Linked DNA regions of Drosophila melanogaster. Changing the gene in region 1 together with any one later gene gives a genetic interaction. Each region holds a gene or a part of one and is shown on either strand. Other genes may lie near its edges.

Region 1 (5,701 bases):
CTGTGAAGTATATACCAAATCTATTATTTAAGAATAAGGTGGGTAGTCGTCGCCGGTTGAGCCCTCTGTTTACTTTATCTCATTACCACATTATTGTTTGTTGTTTCACATGCAGTATCACTCCATGAGCAAGATAGGCAAGTGTTCGGTTCCCTTTTTGTTTATTTCGGGCCTTGCGGACAACTTAGTGCCACCGCGCATGATGCGTGCCTTGTATACCAAATGCGGCAGCGAGATAAAGCGCCTGCTCGAATTCCCCGGCGGATCGCACAACGACACTTGGATAGTGGACGGGTATGGCCGGCAATTAATCTTCACTTTCCCATTTATCCATGGGTGTGCTTGCTTTTTAGGTACTATCAGGCCATCGGTGGGTTTTTGGCCGAGCTGCAGCAACAGCCGCTCCTCAAGGCGCCGGAGAAGAGCAACGTCTGGGTGGAGCTGGAGCATAAAATTATTGATGTATAGACCCGAATACATCAAGTGTTCAATTGACTGTGTTAACACTGCGAATGGTTTAATACTTATACATATACACACGCATAATATTAATCTGTATCTGACAGGGTTTTAATCCGGACGTTGCTATACGCCAAATTGCTTTTTATGTGCAGAGAATAACGTGCTAGCGGAGATGGCTGTTGATTTTAAGTAACCAACTTAAATAACTTTGCGCTTAAGCAAGTGAATACACACTAGAATCCGAATTTCGATGTTTGCTTGTATTTGTCCTAAGCTATGTTAACCTACTACTTTGCCCGATTGGCGGCCAGTTAAGAGTATAGAAATTGATCAGTATTTCACAAAAAAGTAAACTATTTTCTGGACTGACTCCTACATTGCCAGATTAGTTTATAGAAGCCTTCACCCCTAGCACGTTAACATTTTGTGCTGGTTCCATTTTTGAAATGTTAAATTAATAACTTGTTAGGATTGCAAAGGAAGCCAGAAAAAGTTATCTTAAGTTTAGACTTAAGTGCGAAGAAAAAGGAAATTCGAGAAACAATAAACTGCAAACAATTGCTAGAATCCACGGAAGTCCTCATCGGCACTGTCATCACTGGCGGGCGTGGATGATCGTTTGCGGCTTTCTGGTTTTTCCTCTGGCTGATCTGTTGCTTCCTCCTCAGCACTCGGCACAATTTCCTGAGCCTGCGATCGGTGGTGGAAGACAAAGGACACGCACTTGCAATCCATCCAGGCCTGGGCGAGAATATTGTCAGGCAGGCCTCTGTTGTTGGAGCAATGGTACCATTGTGACAAATGCGAGGTGCAGTCCGTGTCCTCGGGCGGTGGCTTCATTTGTATATTTTGAACGCAGCGCTTACACTTGAGCCTGAAAAGATATGTTACACGATCATGATCTAAAGGGTATCCAAAGCCAGTTCTTACTTGTCGTGTGTGTCGGACAGAATGTTCGCATCAAATGTAAACAAGTCCTTCAGATCGTCGCGGGTGAAATGCTTCTCGGCCGACTCGTTGTTGTCAATGATGGTGCTCGACAGGGATTTTTTGTGCGTCTGTCGCTGCAGGATCTTCTCCTCGATGGAACCACTCTGAAAGAGATTTCTTGAGTTGAAAAAGAAAGTTCCGTGCAGAACCAATTCAGGTACTCACGGCAACGAGGCGATATATGTAACAGGGCTTCTTTTGCCCGTCACGCCACACTCTGGCCATTGCCTGCTCATCGTTGGCCGGATTCCAGTCTGGGTCAAACATGAACAGGCGGTTGGCTCCAATCAAATTCAAGCCGCAGCCGCCAGCCTTGCTGCTCAGCATGAAAAGGAAGCTGTCAGACTCCGGGTCATTGAATCGGTCAACAACCTTCGATCGCTTCTTGATGGACATGGTGCCATCAAGCCGGACAAATCCGTACTTTCGCTTCCTCGCGAGCTGCTCGAACAAGTCCAGGGTCTGTGTGTAATTGGAAATGAGAACCACCTTGTCGTTGCCCTCTGCACGTATTGCTGCCAGCATGAAATCCAGGAGCATGAACTTGCCACTTAGCTCTGGATTGAGATCCCTGGAACACAAAAGATTCATTAATAGCCATTGCTATTCGCGCGCAACAGGCGACGTACTTTGGTTTGTAATTACTAGGCAGCACATTTTGGGAGTTTTCGAATCCCTTTTCCCGCGCAGTGAGCTTCTCATATATGAGATCCGGATGACTGCAAATCTTCTTAAGCGTTGTAATGTCTGCCAGCGCCGTAAGCGAAGCCTTTTCATTGCAATCTTGAAGGGAATTGTAAATGGTAGGAATGTTGTGGTAGTATTGCCTAATGACTTACCCGCCAAACTACGTCGAACTTGATCAGACTTCAAGAAATTCGTGTATAGCTCGAGTTGAATCGCCGTCAGTTTCGCACAGATAACCATTTCAAACTTAACCGGCAGATATTTGGTTAGAATTTGATTAGTGCGACGAATGATGCACTGATCGACCAGACCTATCAGCTCCTGTGTCTTCTCTATGGCCCGTTGTCGCTCCTGTTCCGTGGAGTCAGTATTCTGGCCCCGCAGAATAGCGCTCTCGAAGTTGCGCTTAAACACGGCCGCCGTTCCCAGCATCTCCGGGTTTACAAAGTTCACCAGGCTGTAGTACTCAGTAAGATCGTTCTGGATGGGAGTGCCGGAAAGCAAGACCCGTCGCTTTGTCTTCAGTCCCATGAGAGCCTGATACGTCAGATTGTCGCTGTTCTTGAGGCGATGTCCCTCGTCGCATATCACCATTCCCACCTCGTACTTGCACAGGATCTCCGCGTAGATGCGAAATGTCTCGTAGCTGATGAGCAGAACAGGTGTCCCCAGCCGGGCAGAAGTCATGGAGAACTGCTCGAGTGCTCGGATGGTGTTCTCCTTGGTCCCGCCCTCCATGGGCAGGCAAAGGAGTCGACCGTGAAGCCACTTGGTAAACTCCTTCTCCCAGTTCTTAACCAGCGATGATGGAGACACGACAATGGCTTTGTTGATCGTCGGCTTGCACTCGGGCCCCTGCCTTAGAAGTGTCCAGACCAGCGTTACGCACTGCAGCGTCTTCCCGAGACCCATTTCGTCGGCCATGATGCATCCATTGAAGTTGCCCCGCTTTCCCTCCACACACTCGTACATGAAACGCACTCCCTCGCGCTGGTGCGGCCGCAATATGTTGCTCAGCAGCGGATCGACGACGACGTGCACCAGAACCTTGGTCGGATCCATGCCCATGCGCTCGTGTTCTGTGTAGGCGGGTGGATGGAAGAGTACCAAGGCGTTGCAGGCCATCGGATCGTGTAGGGGTCGTCGGGAAATGCAGCGCCGCACGCCCAGGACCCGTTTACCACCGTAATCCGGTACGTAATTGTCCATGGGCACCTTGAACTTCCGTGCCAGAACCTTGGCAATGGCCAACTCATACTCGCTGTTCGCCGTGAAGCGAATAGGCAGTGGGAGCTCTGATGTGTTGCTGGCATCTCGGAGGGCGCCCAGTCGTCTTCTGTCCAGTTCTTGCTCTCGCTCCAGTTCCTGCTGGCAGGATCGCTTGTTTTTCTTCAGCAGTGGCGGCGTGAAGGAGTGACGGGACTCGGGACGCAGTGGTCCACGTTGGCTGGGAGCCAGACTGCGCCGCTTTAGGAATAAATGATTAGGGAAATGGAATTAAATAAATCAAATTTTTGTATTTACCATTTCATTAAATTCAAATGGCGGTAGCGCGAACAGCTGATAGAAGCGCGGAAGTCTGGTCACACAGGCGATAAGAAATACTGGTAAGTGGAACGCTGGGATAATGAAACAGAACGCATTTAATCAAACTAATACTTGTGATCATAGCACGCTGTTTTAAAAGTGAATAGATAATTAGATAAAAATAAAACTAAAATGGAATTGCTACACCCCGATGTCAAAAATTCCCGATGTATCTCAGGTATAATCGAAACATCGATATGTTATATTGATAGCTGCTCATCGCTAACTTTCTATTTCCGTGCAGATATAATTGTAAATATTTACGCAGAATTGCTTTGGAAACACTACGAAAATAGTGCAAAATGAGGCAATAAAGTGCGGGCCGGACTGCCTTCCCTTTCTTGACTTCAAAACCCGCGCCAAAAGCGCGAATTTCGTGCTGCAAGAACGCAAATCTAGTCCGCAAATCTGCGGAAGTGTTGGTACTACCACTTAATTGTATTTGTAATTGTAATTGCCAAAGTGCCAAAAAAAAAAACGCTGCAAATGCTGCAAGCGTGAAAACCCATCTAAGAAGGGCCACTAAACAGTAATGGGTGTAGATGCACGATGCACGGAGAGCGGAAAGCAGCGGAGACGATGACGATGATCAAATCTAAATTCATCAGGTGAGCGAGCAGCAGCAGCAACAACAACCACAGTGAGTGCCCAAATAGGTGGGCACACGTACACAGGTGTGTGTGTGGCTGTGTGCGTAAGTGTGTCACTTGTTGTTCTTGGGAACATTAGAGAAAAGTAAATAGCGAATATTCAACTAAAGTGCGTCTTCTTTTAGCTTCTAAATATTTAAAAAGCGAGCAACATTGAAATACTCACCACTCACACAGTCGGACAAAAGCACAAAACGAGAGATAACAGAGCACCAGCACCACCAATTCATGCCAAACGAAACGCACACGGAGCAGTTATCAGCGGACCAGCGCCACTAAAAGCCACCGAATCGCACACACACCGCACCGACAACGATGTGGCTGCGCCAGAGCAGCGGTGGAGGCGTTGCCTCCGTCGGACACGTCGGCCCACTGCGACAGCGACCCATCGACGCTGCCACAGACTGCGATCCGCGCGCTTGCTACGACAGCTTCTGTAAGCACTGGCAGCAGGCCTTCGAGATCATCCAGCACAGTGCACCGCCCTCGCACGACGACGTGCTGGGCGTGGTCTCGCACTTGGACTACATGGTCACCCTGCTGCTCGTGGAGCTGCATCACTGCAACAAAGTCTCGCTGCCGGCGGCCGAGGCTAGTGGTCCGCCTGCGGCGCCCTGCCTGGAATTCCTGCTCAGCGAGAATCTGCTGGACAAGCTGTACGAGTGGGCCTGCACCACGGGACGGTATGCCAACGCTGTGAGGCTGGAGCAGCTGAAGCTGTACGAACTGCTCGTCAGCCACTCGCGCCACCAGCTGCTCTGCCACGAGCCCTTCCTGCGACCCCTGCTCAAGATACTGGCATCCAGCCAGGGCGAGATCTTTCCGCCCGATCTCGAGAAGCGCCTGGTGATCCTGCTGAACCAGCTGTGCGTGGTTCTTATGCAGAATGTCCACCTGCTGGACCTCTTTTTCTTCTCCGCCCAGACGCAGGTGCAGGAGCAGATATTAAATGGCAACGTGGCGCCACCCAAAAGCGGAACCACTACCAAGTAAGCTCATAACTTTTAAACATTCCAATTCATTCAGCATAAAAAAGAATAGCGATAAATGAATATTTGTGTAATGATTCATCGCGTAATAGCGACATTAGCCAGATAAGGCAATACTAAAAAAGTGACCCTGTAATATTCCAATTACGAGTGATGAATCCACTTGACTTGTTCCATTTATCTTCTAAGATTTATATATTTATATTCTAAGACTTTATTATAAGGTATATTCCGTGTCTGATAAATCTTTTATTGATTCTTTTAGCTTCATAATATTTTCGCTGCTTATCCCGTACGTGCATCGCGAAGGCAGTCTTGGTCACCAAGCGCGCGATG
Region 2 (3,112 bases), on another chromosome or scaffold:
CGCTCCATTGGCCAACTGGGCGTGAATCCGTCCGAAACGATGGAGAAGGGCAAGGTCATACGCTCGACGTCCACACCACTGCACGTGGAGTCCGTGTTCGCCAAGCCCAAGGAGCCGATTACCTTCAATGCTTCCACTGGCGGCCACGTGTCCAGCATCTACCACGAGGAGCCCAGTCCGACACCCGAAAGCAATCCCGTCCAGCAGCAGCAGCAGCAGCAGCAGCCGTTGCAGCAGCGCGCCTGGAAAATGGGCGCCCGCAACAAGATGAGCGCCGCAACGCCGCTGCGCCAGGTCATGTCCAAGAGCATTCAGAAGGCCTTCGTCGAGCACGGCGGCATGATGGTCCACCAGCCACCATCCGCAGTGGTGCAACGTCGCGTGCGCCTCGATCTCAGCGAGCACAGTTCGCACGAGGCAGCAGGCTCGTCCGCTCTGGACCTGCGACTCTCGCCAGCTATGCGGCGCACCCAGAGCGAGTCCAGCGCCTCGGAGGTCAACAGCGGCAGCAGCTCCAGCTACAGCACCTCGCGGAATGCCGATCTATGCAAGCGGCAGTTCTTGCTGTCCGCACAGAAACTCACCACCGAGTCGATCATCATCACGCGGACGAACTCCAGCTCACAGAAGACCTCTTCCACGGTGTACAACTCATGCGAGAGCGTCGAGATCATACGCTCCACCTCGGAATCAGCGGAAGTGTGCCACGTGCCGGCCATAACGCCCATCCGTGTCACCGGTGCCGGCATCAACAAGAAGCAGATCAAGTTCGAGACGCCGCCCAAGAGCAGCCAACAGATGCGATCGAATGGCGAGGGCGATGAAACCAAGGACCAGTTTTTCACGCCGGAACCGGGAACGCCGGAAATTCCAGAGCGTCGTCATCGCCAGGCGATTGTGCCGCGCCAGCTGAGCGGCGAGTTTTCGCCCAAGAAGGATAAGCCGAAGGAGAAGGGGCTGGCGGTGATGGCCCTGATCTCGCCGCCATTGCAGCAACCCAGGGTGCGTCCTCCGTTGCGGGAATGCCGTCAGCAGAGGGTCTATAGCGGCGTGCAGGATGTGGGCGAGCCGGAGGTCGTGGACGCAGAAGAGGAGGACGAGGTGTTCCGCCCCACAAACGCCTCCACGTGCAACGACAAAAAGCTGGAGGCGCCCAACTCCGGTCGCCTGTGGTCGCTGATGAGTTCCATGATGCGACTGCCGGCCAGCTTGCGCGGCGAACGCGAAAAGGACAGGGACAGGGACAGGGATTCGGATAAGGAGAACGCTGGTTCGGGCTCACTCATCCGTCGCTGCGCCTCCATCGCTGGATCCCTGGTGCGCCCCAGTGCAAGGGACTCCTCCATGGAGGACCAGCAGTGCCTCAAGAGAAAGCGCACTCAGACGCTGGACAGCCAGTACTGTAGCCCGCTGTCGCCGTCCAGCTCCTCGAAGCGCTACCGCATCCGGCCCAGGGAGCCCATCGAGCGCATGCGTCGCCAGTAGGTTTTAAGCTTTTGCCTGCGAATCTGTGTTTTAATTGTGAAATTCTTCTTTTTTTTTATCGTTTAATAAATGTTTGGTCTTGCATTAACCGTTATGCGCAGCAGGAGTTGGCAGGTCCAGGAGCTTAGCTCGTCTCATTCAGAGCTGCCAACTCTATCTATTGATTCTGTTATTAATTAGTTGCGCACAAGATCGAAAAGCTTAACGGAGCGCCCATGGCGAAATCACAAGCAGGTCAGACTGTCGAGCCGGAGGCGTCCAAGCTGTGGATCCACTGCAACAGCTGCTGCGCCCTGTTCTGCGATAAGAAGCACACCTTCTTCCTGCTCGCCTGCCATCACGTGTTCTGCGAGCGGTGCGTCAAGGTCTCCGCCGGCCGCACGCCCAGCGACGCGCCCATATTCGAATGCTCCACCTGTCGGCGGAGCGTGCGCGGCCGCCAGTTGACCAACTCGATGCCCAACCACTTCAAGCAGCTCTTCCATCCGGAGCCCTTCACCATCGGCAACGACTTTGTGGAGACGTTCCAGCGCGGCAATCATCGGCACTTCGACAAGTACAAGGAGAGGAAGGAACTGGAGATGGATAAGCTGTTCAAGGACATCGAGGTGGCCAAGTCCGTGTGCCAGAAACGCTTCCTGGAGGCGCAGATGCTGCGCGTGGAGCGCAAGAAGCTGATGCAGAGGTCGCGCTACATTAAGGCGGAAGTCGCCAATCGGAAGGCGGAAATGCATCGGTGCGACATTTGGATTCCATTGAAAATAGTTCCCATTAATGCATTATATTTCTACCCGCCTTAGGATGGCCCAGGCCTACCGAAGCCGCTCGCTGACTTCGCAATCCTCGTCATCCGCCCAACGCTCGGCGCGCGGACGTCCTCGTGGCCGTGGAACAGCCACACAGTCCTCCAGTCGACGCCGATCAACGGAATCAGCAAAGCGGCAGCAAATCACCAGCTTCATACACCCGCCGAACAACTCGTTCGATCTGTGAGCTAGTGCTGATAGGTAAAGCTCTGTTTTACAACCGAGTATATATTTTTTGTAAATAATCAGCTTAAAACAATAAAATGGTGTCATAAGCTTTAAAATAATAAACTGCTAAGTTAACAGCGACCGTTAAGTTTCAATTAACAGTTTCGTTAGGATAACAGAAGTGTTGAAAGTGAATTCGATTAATCGAAATCCATCGATGACTGCTGCACCGATAATATCGCATAAGCATCTGCTCTAAAAACGCATAAAAATTGAATTGCAAGAAGTAGAAGAGCGAAACGTCATAAAAGCGGCAAATCCGGCGCTGTCCGACAAGAACCACAGGGGAAAGCGGATAAGGACATCATGATGAATAGCAAGATCGCCGAGGTAGTGGTGCTCAACTGCCGGACGTGCACGCGTGCCTGCAAGCTGCACAAGCCGCTGCAGGAGGAGATCGATCTGGGTTCGGAGGGCAGCACCACGCTGGCCAGCATGCTAAACTACTGCACGGGACTCTCGTTCGAGCCGCAAGACGGCGCCGCCATGCCGCAGCACATCTGCCTCCACTGCCTGCAGCTGCTGGAACAGGCGTTCAACTTCAAGCGCATGGTCATCGATTCGGACGAGCTGCTCCGCCTGGGCCTGGACGA
Region 3 (5,871 bases), on another chromosome or scaffold:
GTAAGTGCATTTACTTATATTTGAATCTTATTTAACAAATTCTTTAAACAGCTGGTGGGAAGTTTTGTAACCCTTGTTTTGTTGGCCACCAACCGGACCAATCTGTTGAGCCAAGTGAATCGGGACGAGTCTGCCTGTGAGAGCTTCCATCGCCTCTGTGCGGACGAATGCGATGATGAAACGCTGAGCATGCTCAGTCAGCAGTTAAGTGGATACAGTGATATCAGCAATAGCAATTTGTCCATGCGAACCGCCTCTGTGTGCCACTCACCCGCCCCAACGATTTCCCAGCGAACAATTCAGGCGCCTGCTTCTTTGCTGTCCCTGGACTCGTTGCATCTGTCGAAGCAACGGATGGAACAGCAGGCTTGGTCCTCGAACTATGGAGATGCCTCTACAGTGGTTGCCCCGCGTGTCCAGCCGGCGATGATGTTTCAACAGAAACCCATGAGACCATTAGAGTCCCAATGGTATCGCCATGGACAAAGTAACCTGGCCCAAGGCAATACTTTCACTAGATCCACGCAAAATCTTTTGATGCCATCGCGTTTGCCGTCCATAAACAGGAACGTCGGCGGAGCTGATGTAAGCGCCTGGGTGGCGGCCAATCAAAGTGTGAACCAAGATCTATGCACTGCCAATCTAATGAGACATTACGAAGAGAAACAGCAGAATCAACTTTCCCGCACTTCGTCACAATCTTCTGGATTTGAGTCGCAGCCACGTCCAGAAGCCCAATGCGGAACAGGTGCTGCAACTGTAAGGGACTACGGCTGGTCCGAAGCCCGTGAGAGTCAGCGAAATTTCGCAGTTTTTCCGCCAATGCCGTCACCTACACCCACAATAACGCCTAGTGAATATCAATACTCGAGGACTGCTCTTCCGCAGCAACAGCCAACTATGCAGCCGGGGGATTTACTTAGGAAGTGGATTGAGATTAACTCAAAATCCTCACAGCCAATACACTAATGTGATGTGAGGTCATAAATATCTAGAAAAACTTAGAAAAAATTCTGGAAAAGATCACCGCCAGTTGGGAAATTATATAAATTTGACTTAACTTAATTATCAAATAATTTATTTTTGACTTACAGTTTTTAAGCTTCTTTATTCTACTAAAGGTTAGTCCTCCCTTTACTTATAATCGACTAAATAAGTAGTGTTTAGCTAGACATTCTTTAATCTGTGTAGCTCTAAGTTTCGTGGTTTTCAATATAGAACTTTTCAGGGAATTGAAAGTCAGGGAGTAAGATTAGAAGGTAATATAAATACTACTTGATTTTAAAGGGAGAATAAAGCTTTGGTAACTAAGTTATTTATTCATTGAAGACAATCATTCAAAGTTTGTTTTTATCGTTAACTAAACTTTTGTGACTCACATAAACTAGATAAATTGTTTATTATACAAATACATATTTTTTGAAATAAAAGCAAAACAAAAAAATGGTTATTATTTTGTTAAGTTAAGTGCAGTTATAAGAAAATATTCATTATCAAGTTAAATTCAATAATAACAGTGACCTGTCTTTTTGGTTGTTTTTCTCTTTTAAAAAATGTTATATTGTTCTCTTAGATTTCAGAACACGCTCTCTTAGTGCAGTGCTGCCAGTTGGTTAACGGCGCGGTGTAGAAATCAAAGTGGCCGTTTCCAAAGTCGGCACGGCACTTCAAAAATTCATACATTTGCCCCTGAAAGTATGTTGTTTATGTTGTTGTTAATATTGAACAAATATATTATGAATTTAAATTATCTTAATAAACAATTATGTATATAAGGTTGTGTAGCCTCTAACCATTCTCGAATGTAAAATTTAGCTGGTTATTTCAAATTACACATTAATCAATCAGTCTGTGGGCGCGGTTTTTAGATGACAGCTTGCTGTATATTTAGTATATAAGTAGTAACAGGAGAAAAAGTTTAGTATTTTTGAATACCGTCCAGCTGGCAACACTGCTACAATATGGCTGCCGTATCGTAATGTGAATTTTTTTGAGAGACCGAGACGTACATACTTTTGTTGCTGCCAAAGTGGATGTGGACGGAGGAAAATAGTAATATTTAACTGCGTTGCGGGAGCGGGACAATCGTCGTTTGCCAATTGCGGCCACCGCTTATGTCGGCTAATCGGCTATCAATAATATTAGTAATCGTATCAATATCAAGTTACCCATTACCCATCGCGGATACACATTAGTTTTGCGAAGGGCAGAGCAGCGCAGAGCATATAGCGAATATTTCCATTTGTTGCCAACAAGACTGTCGTTGTTGTTGTTATTATTGTGGCTTTTCAGTGACTGGGGAGAGCAGTGGGGGTGCGTTCGTAATCCTTGTGAAAAATCGGTGACCGTTCTTCTTAAAAAAAAAGCGAAAGAAAAAACCATCGCGATAAGAAAATATAAGAAAGAAAAATCTGATTGAAAACCAAAGAGCTGCTGCTACTGCTGCTGTGCGAGTGAGAGCGGTCGAGAGGTAGCTAGTGAGCGAGTGAGAAAGCTATGTATTGCATTTGCATTTCGTTGTGTGTGTCGTCGTTTTCGTTCGGTAAAAGTCGGTAAAAAGCAGAGCCTTTCCAAACCTAACCACTTTCGGGTAAACGGAATCGGAAAAGGAACTGGGAAAATCGAAAGAAATTAAATAATAATATGCGTTACATCGATGGCAACAACAACAACAACAGCAGCGACCATCAGCTAGCGACTCCTCTCTGAGCGAGAGAGCTAATAGCTTTTCAGCTTTAGCTTTTCTTGGGCCAATCGGAAATTGTATTTCATTGGTAAGTACAAGAAGTGGCAGCACCATAACCAGCAAATCAATACTTGGGCTGCCATTCCGTTTCGTTCCGTTCGTCAGTTTTCCTAGCCCATTCGTTGGCGCTCTCTCTTTTCCGTCAGTCTCTCTCTTTCTCTTCCCCAAAAGAGAGCGAAAACCCCCCGCCCGCCCACACTCGGTGTATGTGTGCTTTGTAATAACGAGTACACTTTTCTGCACATACGAAAAAGAAGGAAAAAAGAATAATAAAATAAGAAGAAAAAATGAAAGACCGAATAAAGAAATTCACATAAACTTATGGCACTCTCCCTCGCGCTCTCTTCATTTGCAACTAGTGTGCGTGCTTAAATTTTTAAAAAACAGTTGTTTTCACCGAAAGGGAATTTTCATTTCGATGGTATATTTTTAGCCAGCAAGCTCCTTTCGGAAATTATTTATAACCCCCCTCGAAATGTTTCCACGCAACGATTTACGCGATAAACTTTTACAAAATCAGATATAAGTAAGTGCAAAGACCACTTGATTTTCGTATAGTATGTAAGTCCACGAATTGCTTACGTATTTATGAAATATTACTGTGCGTAGGTCGGTGGGCGTGTTTCAACGTTTTAGCCCACAGTTTTCACTCATTTTCCTGCGGGGTTTCCGCTTGTGACAAAGGCATTCAAAGAACCAACAAGAAAATCCCGGGGGCGTGGCACCACCCATGCAATTAAATTAGACCAAAAAAGTGCTTACACTTTGTATTCTAGAGAATGTTTCAAATCATTGAACATAAACAGAAGAATTCATGCGAATTTAGAACTAATGGAAATTGGGAGCAAGGATACATAAAGTTGGAGGAATTCAAAAATGTAATTGTTTAAAATTTAAGCGTTAGTAACCAAGTTCTTGTTAAAATATATGCCGCTTAATTAAGTTTAAATCTGTTATTCACAAGTAAAATTATATTTATTATTAATTTCTCTTAATTTGGATATTAAAAAACCTCATTTTGTAGATTGCAAGAGTACGAAATCAAGAAGACGTACATATTTGTTGTTAAGAATCCGTTCCTAATATAAGTAAATTGCTAGAACAATGGATGAATTTTCGGAGAATATAGAAAGAATTGCCCTCGAGTTGCTGAGCAACTTGGTTCATGGCAATGCCACTCTTAGTGTTCCCCGAAATTCATCCGGAAACGTGATCTCGGAATATCGACGAGTCAGCTATAATAATCGCGGAAGTCGCCATAGCTTTTGCGTGCTGATTTACATGCTCTCCCGGGTGCACCGATTGCAAGTCCGCGGAGGAAGTTTCACCGTCCGTGGACTATACTATGACAATCCTCTGCTAGTCCGGTCGCAGTCCAGGATTGCCGAAGCCAGGCTAGATGTCTGTCGTATGCTGAGGACATCCCCCCTAAGCTTGGGCATACTGGCCGCCTCCAAGGGCCTGGTGGCAGGTGAGTTTATCTCGAAATCCTGATCAAAGGCTCCCTGCTCATCCGGTTACTCTTGCAGGCGACTTAAGGCTGCTGATGACCAACGGAGACGTTCTGGACAGCAGCTTGTATGGTGGACCTCTGACATTGCCCACGGATCCCGAGAAGATAGATCGAATCGAAACGCTGGCGGAATTTGTGCTAATCGTTGAAAAGGAGTCGGTTTTTGAGAGTCTCTTATCCAGAAATGTATTTGGTACTTTTGAACGACGCTTCATCCTTATAACTGGAAAAGGATACCCCGATTGCTGTACCCGGAGGATTGTCCATCGGCTCACCGAGGAGAACCAACTGGCGGCCTACATTCTCGTTGACGCCGATCCATTTGGCGTCGAGATAATGCTAGTCTATCGCCATGGCTCGAAGTCCATGAGTTTTTCCAGCCAAGGACTAACCACACCTGCGCTGCGTTGGATTGGTCTACACCCCTCGGAGATTCCCGCACTCGGCACTGGAGCGGTTGCCCTGGTTGCCGGCGACAACAAGAAAATCAATGACCTCCTCGCCCGCCACGATTTGGAGCCGGGAGTGCGGCAGGAACTGCGCATGCTGCAGGACGTTCAGCTGAAGGCCGAAATCGAGAGTGTCATCGACTTCCTGACCGACGACTATATACCAAATAAAATCAATCGGAACTTGTTTTTGTAGAGTTCAGTGGTAAACCCCATAAGCCAAATATTATTACTCTTGAAATATTATTAGTTAGTTTAAAATATGTTGTAGGTATAGTAATATAGTAATTAGTTTGTAAAAAACGTATCTCTATAAAGATACCATAAGACTCCTAAAAATAGTACTGTAAAAGTTAGTTCGCGTAATCAGCTTTCCATTAATATTTGAATTAATTAAGATAGTAATTTAATAATTAAATTCCCCATTCATTGGGATTCCGATTTTGTTGCTTATGTTATAAAATGTAATGTTTAATTTCAATGCAGCTTTAATAACGTCAATATAATATTACGACTAATTAATATTAAAGTACCTTAAGATCCTTGCCTTTAGAAAACATAATTTTAATATTTGGATAACGGATAATAGTAATTTACACTCGTAATGTCTGAGTAATCTGCTTCTAGTGTTTCGTATTGAGTGGTCAACTTGATTTTCTGCATTACTTTGTGTGGACGAAGCCAGTAAACTCAAGCAGACAAAGGAGATTATTTTTTTTATTGTGCCTCTAAAGTGTTATGGCTTGAGGTCGGTAATCGGAGCCGGTAATTGGCTACGTTTTTGATAATGGCAAGTGAATGGCCAGTCATATTATAGGTGCCGAAAGATACAAGTAGTCTGCTTTGTTTAGATCCATACTAATTGCGTGCATTTATTTCTTGCAGATGTGAAGGAGTACCACGGATGATAGAAACCCATTGGGCATTTGACTACTTTTAAGCACCGAAACCTGAAAGACTCCCGAAAATACTCGAATCTCACGTGCAGAATCTCTAAGAATCCCTATTGGACTGTTTAAAAATATGTCGACAGCAATGCGCACCACACTGCAGTCAGTTCCTGAGGCCCTGCCAGCGGATAGCGTGTCCAATGGCACAGCATCCAATGTAGCAGCACCGGCGGCGCCAGTATCGAGCGCAACAAACGCGGTGCCACCACTGGC
Region 4 (5,986 bases), on another chromosome or scaffold:
CGCTTCCGCTTCCGCCTCCTTTCCGTTCTCCGGTTTCTATAGTCCGTAAGCGAGCGACACGTCACACCTTAAAGTTCTCGAGACTTTCTCCGTACAACGAGATTCCGTTTCAGCGGTCAAACAACTGCAATCGACGAAGGCAAGTGAGTGACTCAGTTGGTTGTCTTTAGTTTATTGTTTACTCACCTTGTTGCGCTATCTATTTCCTTGTTGTTGTTTTTGGAATTGTCTTTTTTCGTGATAAGAACCTTTGTGCTTCTGGTTGGATGCACTTGCCTGTCCCAAAACAATAATAGTTTCTATTAGTTTTAGATGGACGTTTTCAAGGCTTAGGAATATCGATCTTGTCATTGAACATTCAATATGGTCTTTGTGTATTTTATTATCATTTGTTTTATGAGTAAACTCGCCGCACAGGAAAGTAAATAAAAACCGAGCTGGCAAAGTTGGGATAACACTATCGGAAGATGGCGATGATTGCGCTTCGTCCCACTCGCAGCAGCGCTGATAGCCGGATTCCACCGAACATTTTACGCTAAATTAATAAAATTTATTAAAATTCATTTCTTGTTAAATTGAAGAATCTTAAAAAATACTTTTCAGTTTAATTTAAATTAAATAACCTATCTAAAGACCACAATCAGGCATGTTCCGGTAATAGTAATATTTTTTCGATTACGATTTGGCAAAATCTTTCGACTTCGTTTTTAGGTGCTCGGGTTTTCGCGGAATTTTTGCGATCGGAATGTTTTGTAAACAGGAAACAGATGTCTAAGCTGTATTCCAGACAATGGAGCGACCAATTTTTTCACAGTTTTAGTTCCGATGTTCGCACTGCACTTTGTCCATTTAAGTAATTAAATTAAATAGTATTATTTACGAACAGTACTTTCGACCCTCCTTTAAATTAATTACGAATTTTTTTTCATTACATCTTATATGCATTTATACTGTTTATACTGTATTGTTTCACCAATAGTATAGCAGTCTTCCTGATAGCTTTTGTCGACATAATTATGAACACTTGCCAAATCGAAACTTTTTGTTGCCAACTGCAAAATTTTGTTTGTCAAATTTCAGGTGGGGTCAGAAATTACTTTTGTTTAATATAACTAAGTCTAAAAATGATCTTATGGTGATGTGGAACATAAACATCAATTAATAAATATCAATAGACCAGCAAACTATTTTTTCCCCTTAGTTAATAAGATCTGATTTGATATAAAAAAGGCATTTACTTTTTAAAAGGCCGTTTTACAAATTAAAATTTTCTTACGAATTCGATTACCGGAGCATTCCCGAATAATATTGTAGAGAGCAAAACGGGTTGATGGTTTCTAAGGTTTCAACGGCATTACTGTTTTGACTATTCCCTACATTTCAAAATATATCAAAAAGAAAATCCTAAAATGTACAGTAGAAATTCAGCTTTTTATAGCTTACTTAAAAGTTTCGCAATACTTATTCTTGAAAACGCAACTCAATGTAAGTTTATGTATAAAGTATACTTCTGTATACATTAATACAATTATAATTGTAATTAATTAAATCACTATAATTATAATTACCATGCATATCGCCTACAAACCAAATGCGGTCTGCGGCGAAGGTAACGGAAGGCCCCAAATGCATCGTTCACATTCAAATAAACAAAGCATTCCCCATCGGTATCGTTATCGGTTTTCGATGTCGATAGTCGTTCGTAGCAAGACGCGGTCTCACTGGTGCACATTGTTTTCCGTCGCGTGTGAAAATTGCTGAGTGTATAAAAACTGTGCATACTTAGAGAAAACTTCTGCATTTGGTTGAAAGGTAAGTGCGACTGCTGCGGACGCCATGGAGACCAAAAAGCTTTGCAAAGGCGAGCCTATGGCGATACGAAGAAGTAATTTGACCACTGATTTTATGGGGCTCCGAGCTCAGACGAGATACACATACGCACACATACACACGCTTACGTTTCAAATAGGCACCAGCGAGACGGAAAACAAAATGTCGACCGAATTGTATTTTCCTCTATTACTTTTTCCCACCGATTTGTGAAGGTTTATGCCTTTCGAAGGCTCGGAAAAGTGTGGTAAATTTGTGCTTTCCCAATTAGAAGTTTTTGATTGAGTGACATCTGGGTTTAAGTGCACTTTTTTCTGAGGGCAATCTCCAATATTGATTTTTACAATGGCTGCCGAGGAGTCTCATTCATTTTCCAGGAAAATGTGCACAGAAAAGCTTATACCAAAGTGCATAGGTGATTACAATTCCAAATGAATGATTTTCCAAATAGTTAGTTGATAAATTTACGAATAGAATTTTCTCGCAAATCAATTTTGATCGTCTTTCGTGTAGGTTATCCACTGATGAATACGTATGTGTGTCTTTTTATTCTATTCGAGTTGGTATTTTCTTTTATTTGATAAGGGGTGGGTGGGGGTCGAGCGCATCTTGTTTAGTTTTACTTTCTCTTTTATTTATGCTGCAAACTTCAGCGGGTGGTGCTCCATCCATGCTAGCATGTATGTATGTATTTAGAGTGAGTGTGTGTGAGTTAGTGAGTGAGACTGCAAGGCAATCACGTTTCTTATTCTCAGCATATTTATTTTCTGATCAATTTTTGGCCTCTTTTCAGCACTTTAATATTCTTTCCTCCCCTCTCCAGCATTTGTTTGAATTTTAATATTTAATTGTTAACGTACATATGTACATAGATACATACGTTTAGATACGTTTCAATGACGCGAGGGTTTCAGCAAGAAAGCAGATACATATATATACATATTTGTGTAGCCATTATTTTTTTTCGCTTCTTTGTGAAATTCGCTATGCTGCTGTGACGTCATAGGTCAATTTTTAAAGAGAAAAAATAAACAGCTGATTGCCAAATAGGCAGCACTGTCGTGCGAGCTAGAGTTGCCCTTCCTAAAAGGCCTACTAAATGTCATAAAATAGCCCTCATTGCACTGAACAAAACTCAACCCGGAGAACTCAGTGACGTACTTTTTCTGAATTTTAGGGATTATTACATCAGTTTTTGTATGCTTCCTTCATTCCTGATGCCATAGTATTACTAGCTTTGTCAACTTATACAGCAACTCAAACAACCCATGTGTATGGAAAGAACAAAATATGGTAAGTACCAGTTCATTTCTGAAAGAACTCTTAAAAGCAAATGGAAAATCGCTGAGGTACTGCCAAATTTCTTGTTATCCACTAACCACTCTGCCACGCATAAACGTTTGAGCTCATTTTCATTATCAATAACCTTGAAGGTTGATTGAACTGCGAAAGGAAATATTTTGACCCCCTAGACGGGATATAATTTGATTTCCGCCCCCGGAGCCCCCTGGCAACACCCTCCCCGCCCCGGGAGCCAACCCTGGAGCCGCCCCTACACTTGAGCCGTACAAATCCTGTCTGTCGTTTGATGACTTTGTGTGCAAGGAGAACGAGGCAGTCTTTGTATCTGACTGCGTGCTTCATTTCGTCGAGCTCCGTTTCGTTTAGCCTGCTCTCTGCTCACCGCTTCGCCCACCAACAAAAATACAAATAAATAAATGAAAAGAAGAGCCAAAACACAACTCGGAACTCGCTCTGCGCTTTGTTTGCCTGGCTCTTCTTTCCCTTCCCCCTCCCTCTTCCGTTTTCATCATTCGCCGTGTGTATGTGCGATGGACGAGCGAGTGTGCTGTGTGTGTGGGTTCGCTGGCGCCCGTGTGTGTGTGCGCCTTTGTACATTGAACTCAAAAATTCGAACTCGAGAAGAAAAGAAAAGAGTGAGAACGAGTGGAGACCAAGTCGGATAACCGACCCATCCCCTCCCTCTGGTGCCGTAGTCCACACACCTCATTAACCACCCGAAAAGGGGTCCCGAAGTCGTCTCGTATTCGTCGTCTTCATCCCAACTTAGAACCCTTTGATCAGGTTGCTTCGTCTGCTGACCCAGATGACGTCCATCCCAGATCCAAGACTTACCTAAAATGTTAAGTGAGTGGGACGTAAATGACTCCGATCAAAAAATAAATAATCCGTGTAATTCCTAAGAATGAAATATTACGAGAATGGCAAAACAGTTTATTCGAAATATCAACTGACTGATTGGGTCGTCTCAAATAGGATTAGTGCTAACAAATGGCATTTAATGCAATTCCTCTGAATTAGGGTGTACTATAAACTGTTGAACATCTGAAATATTGAGCTTGGGTTAGCTCTTTTTCCCCTGTTCCATACAAATCGATTTTTATAATAAATCAAAATATTGCAATGACCATTATGCATTGTTGCATTTTTAACAATTGCGAATTCTACAGTTATTGGATAGCCCAGATTTCAGTCTCAGCGCTATGGTTATATGGAAAATGAAAACTATTTTGTATAATATTTGAGATTTAGCGAACGGCAACCCTAAGGGAACGCTGCGTAGATTTGGATGCCTTTTTAGTTTTTGGTTGCCCGGCTTGACTCTGTTTTTTGTTCTTTTTTCTCCCTTTATTTCCTGATCATTACGATCCTGCTCTGATCTTGTACAGTTCTTTGCTGACAAGATGAAGTTCCGCGCACTGATGCAGGATCCGCTGTACATGAAAGAGTTCCAGGCCATTGTGGCCACTTTAACCAAGCTGGCGAAAGATTGTGTGATGATTCTGGGCTCTCGGCAGATGCATTTTATCGTGAACGAGGATCAGAGCTCCGCTGCATCGCCCTTGGTTTGGGCAGGAATTACAGCTGAGGAGTATTTTCCGGAGTATCGCATGGAGGCTGCTCACCCGGATCAGGAGTACATAGTTCTAGGCGTGTCTTCGGCGAATCTCGGAAGAGCTTTATCTGTGCTTCGTGGTGGAGGCGTAAACAGCTGCAAACTGAAGCTTCAAAGAATTCAGTTTCCGTGCATTTCGGTAATAGCCTCGGTGCTTACGTCGTCTTCAACAGAAGCCCGTGAAGTGGTGCACGATGTTCCAGTGACCATAATCCCGGGCAGCGATTGGTCTGCCTACGTTGTACCCAGAGTTCCAAACTCACAGTTGGCTTTGGGCCTACCAAGCCTAAGATTGCTCAAAAGTCTCATTGACAAGCTGAAGAATATATCACCCAGCCTGGAGTTTCAGGTCAACGTGGACGGAGAGCTCAATGTAATAGCCACCTCTGAAATGTCCACTGTGACTAGTCGATTCCAGAAATTACTAATTCGAACTGTGTCAGGATCCCAGCAGGAAGCGTCCTGCTCTGTGGATTCAAGGAAAGCCTCGGCCTTCTTTGGAGCACTTCAACTCCCTAACGAAGAACTGACTATTGGCATTGACCGTGAGCATTCCATCCATCTGCAGATCGATGTACGACAGGATGTGGTTCTGCACTCTATTCTGCCAGCTGTTTGTATGTAGCCTAAGAGCTGGTATGTTTATCATAGCTGTAATAAATGCGACTTGATGTATTCAGGTGTAATAAACGTTCTCACTTAATTCTTTTCCAGAAAAACTCGTCGATGTTAATTTAAATTATCTTTTTGCGACCCTATCCGCATCATCATGCGTTATCGCTTGAACAATTATCTCTTTTACAACTAATGTAGAATTTTTCTTGTTAGTAAATCTAGCAGGATTGAACACGTTCTACGATATTCTGCGGGTCATATTTATTTATTTACATATGTATGTATATAAAAACACATTACCAGCGCTGTTTGTTTCTTCTTGCATATTTATTTTAAAATTTAGTTCGCTAGGACCCTTTTGGCTATTGATGCATTACTTGAATGTTGAGTAAAAATCTTCAATACATTTTTGAATGTACCTAATAATTCTTGGAGAGAAGCAACCTTTCACGTCGTTTGCAAGTAGTAATGTTTGCCTAAACGATATCGGGCCTTATCAGTGAACGAAAGTTGGGGCGGCTCTTTTTATCGTCGCTCTTCGCTGCCTGTCCCACATTCGTCAGCAGCCGTGGCCCCATTTCGCGTTCTCTCTCAGAGGCTCTATTTTACTCGCTCAGCTGGATT

Evidence for each region.
Region 2: of okr (region 1) and vilya, changing one suppresses a phenotype caused by changing the other (phenotypic suppression), as found in Drosophila melanogaster (one study listed by BioGRID).
Region 3: of okr (region 1) and mei-W68, changing one suppresses a phenotype caused by changing the other (phenotypic suppression), as found in Drosophila melanogaster (2 studies listed by BioGRID).
Region 4: of okr (region 1) and Hus1-like, changing one suppresses a phenotype caused by changing the other (phenotypic suppression), as found in Drosophila melanogaster (one study listed by BioGRID).

What each region holds. Positions count from the first base shown.
Region 1 is NT_033779.5:2,989,044-2,994,744, forward strand, and holds okr (okra), read right to left. Parts: upstream 3,717-5,701; 5' UTR 3,667-3,716; coding exon 3,664-3,666; intron 3,607-3,663; coding exon 2,292-3,606; intron 2,236-2,291; coding exon 2,082-2,235; intron 2,024-2,081; coding exon 1,618-2,023; intron 1,557-1,617; coding exon 1,393-1,556; intron 1,337-1,392; coding exon 1,024-1,336; 3' UTR 551-1,023; downstream 1-550. Other genes in the region: Bem46, read left to right, coding at 1-38, 116-294, 354-468; CG3558 (uncharacterized protein), read left to right, coding at 4,692-5,365, 5,631-5,701.
Region 2 is NC_004354.4:2,725,007-2,728,118, forward strand, and holds vilya (vilya), read left to right. Parts: upstream 1-1,671; 5' UTR 1,672-1,700; coding exon 1,701-2,221; intron 2,222-2,285; coding exon 2,286-2,478; 3' UTR 2,479-2,562; downstream 2,563-3,112. Other genes in the region: fs(1)Ya (female sterile (1) young arrest), read left to right, coding at 1-1,485; dwg (deformed wings), read left to right, coding at 2,826-3,112. UniProt on the Drosophila melanogaster protein: Required for the formation of DNA double-strand breaks during meiosis together with narya and nenya.
Region 3 is NT_033778.4:19,454,202-19,460,072, forward strand, and holds mei-W68 (meiotic W68), read left to right. Parts: upstream 1-1,968; 5' UTR 1,969-2,774; intron 2,775-3,770; 5' UTR 3,771-3,850; coding exon 3,851-4,217; intron 4,218-4,275; coding exon 4,276-4,904; 3' UTR 4,905-5,322; downstream 5,323-5,871. Other genes in the region: CG7744 (uncharacterized protein), read left to right, coding at 52-969. UniProt on the Drosophila melanogaster protein: Required for meiotic recombination. Together with mei-P22, mediates DNA cleavage that forms the double-strand breaks (DSB) that initiate meiotic recombination.
Region 4 is NT_033777.3:4,807,809-4,813,794, reverse strand, and holds Hus1-like (Hus1-like), read left to right. Parts: upstream 1-1,698; 5' UTR 1,699-1,812; exon of another isoform or gene 1,813-2,351; intron 2,352-3,007; exon of another isoform or gene 3,008-3,123; intron 3,124-4,520; 5' UTR 4,521-4,535; coding exon 4,536-5,372; 3' UTR 5,373-5,459; downstream 5,460-5,986. UniProt on the Drosophila melanogaster protein: Component of the 9-1-1 checkpoint clamp complex. Involved in both meiotic and somatic DNA damage responses.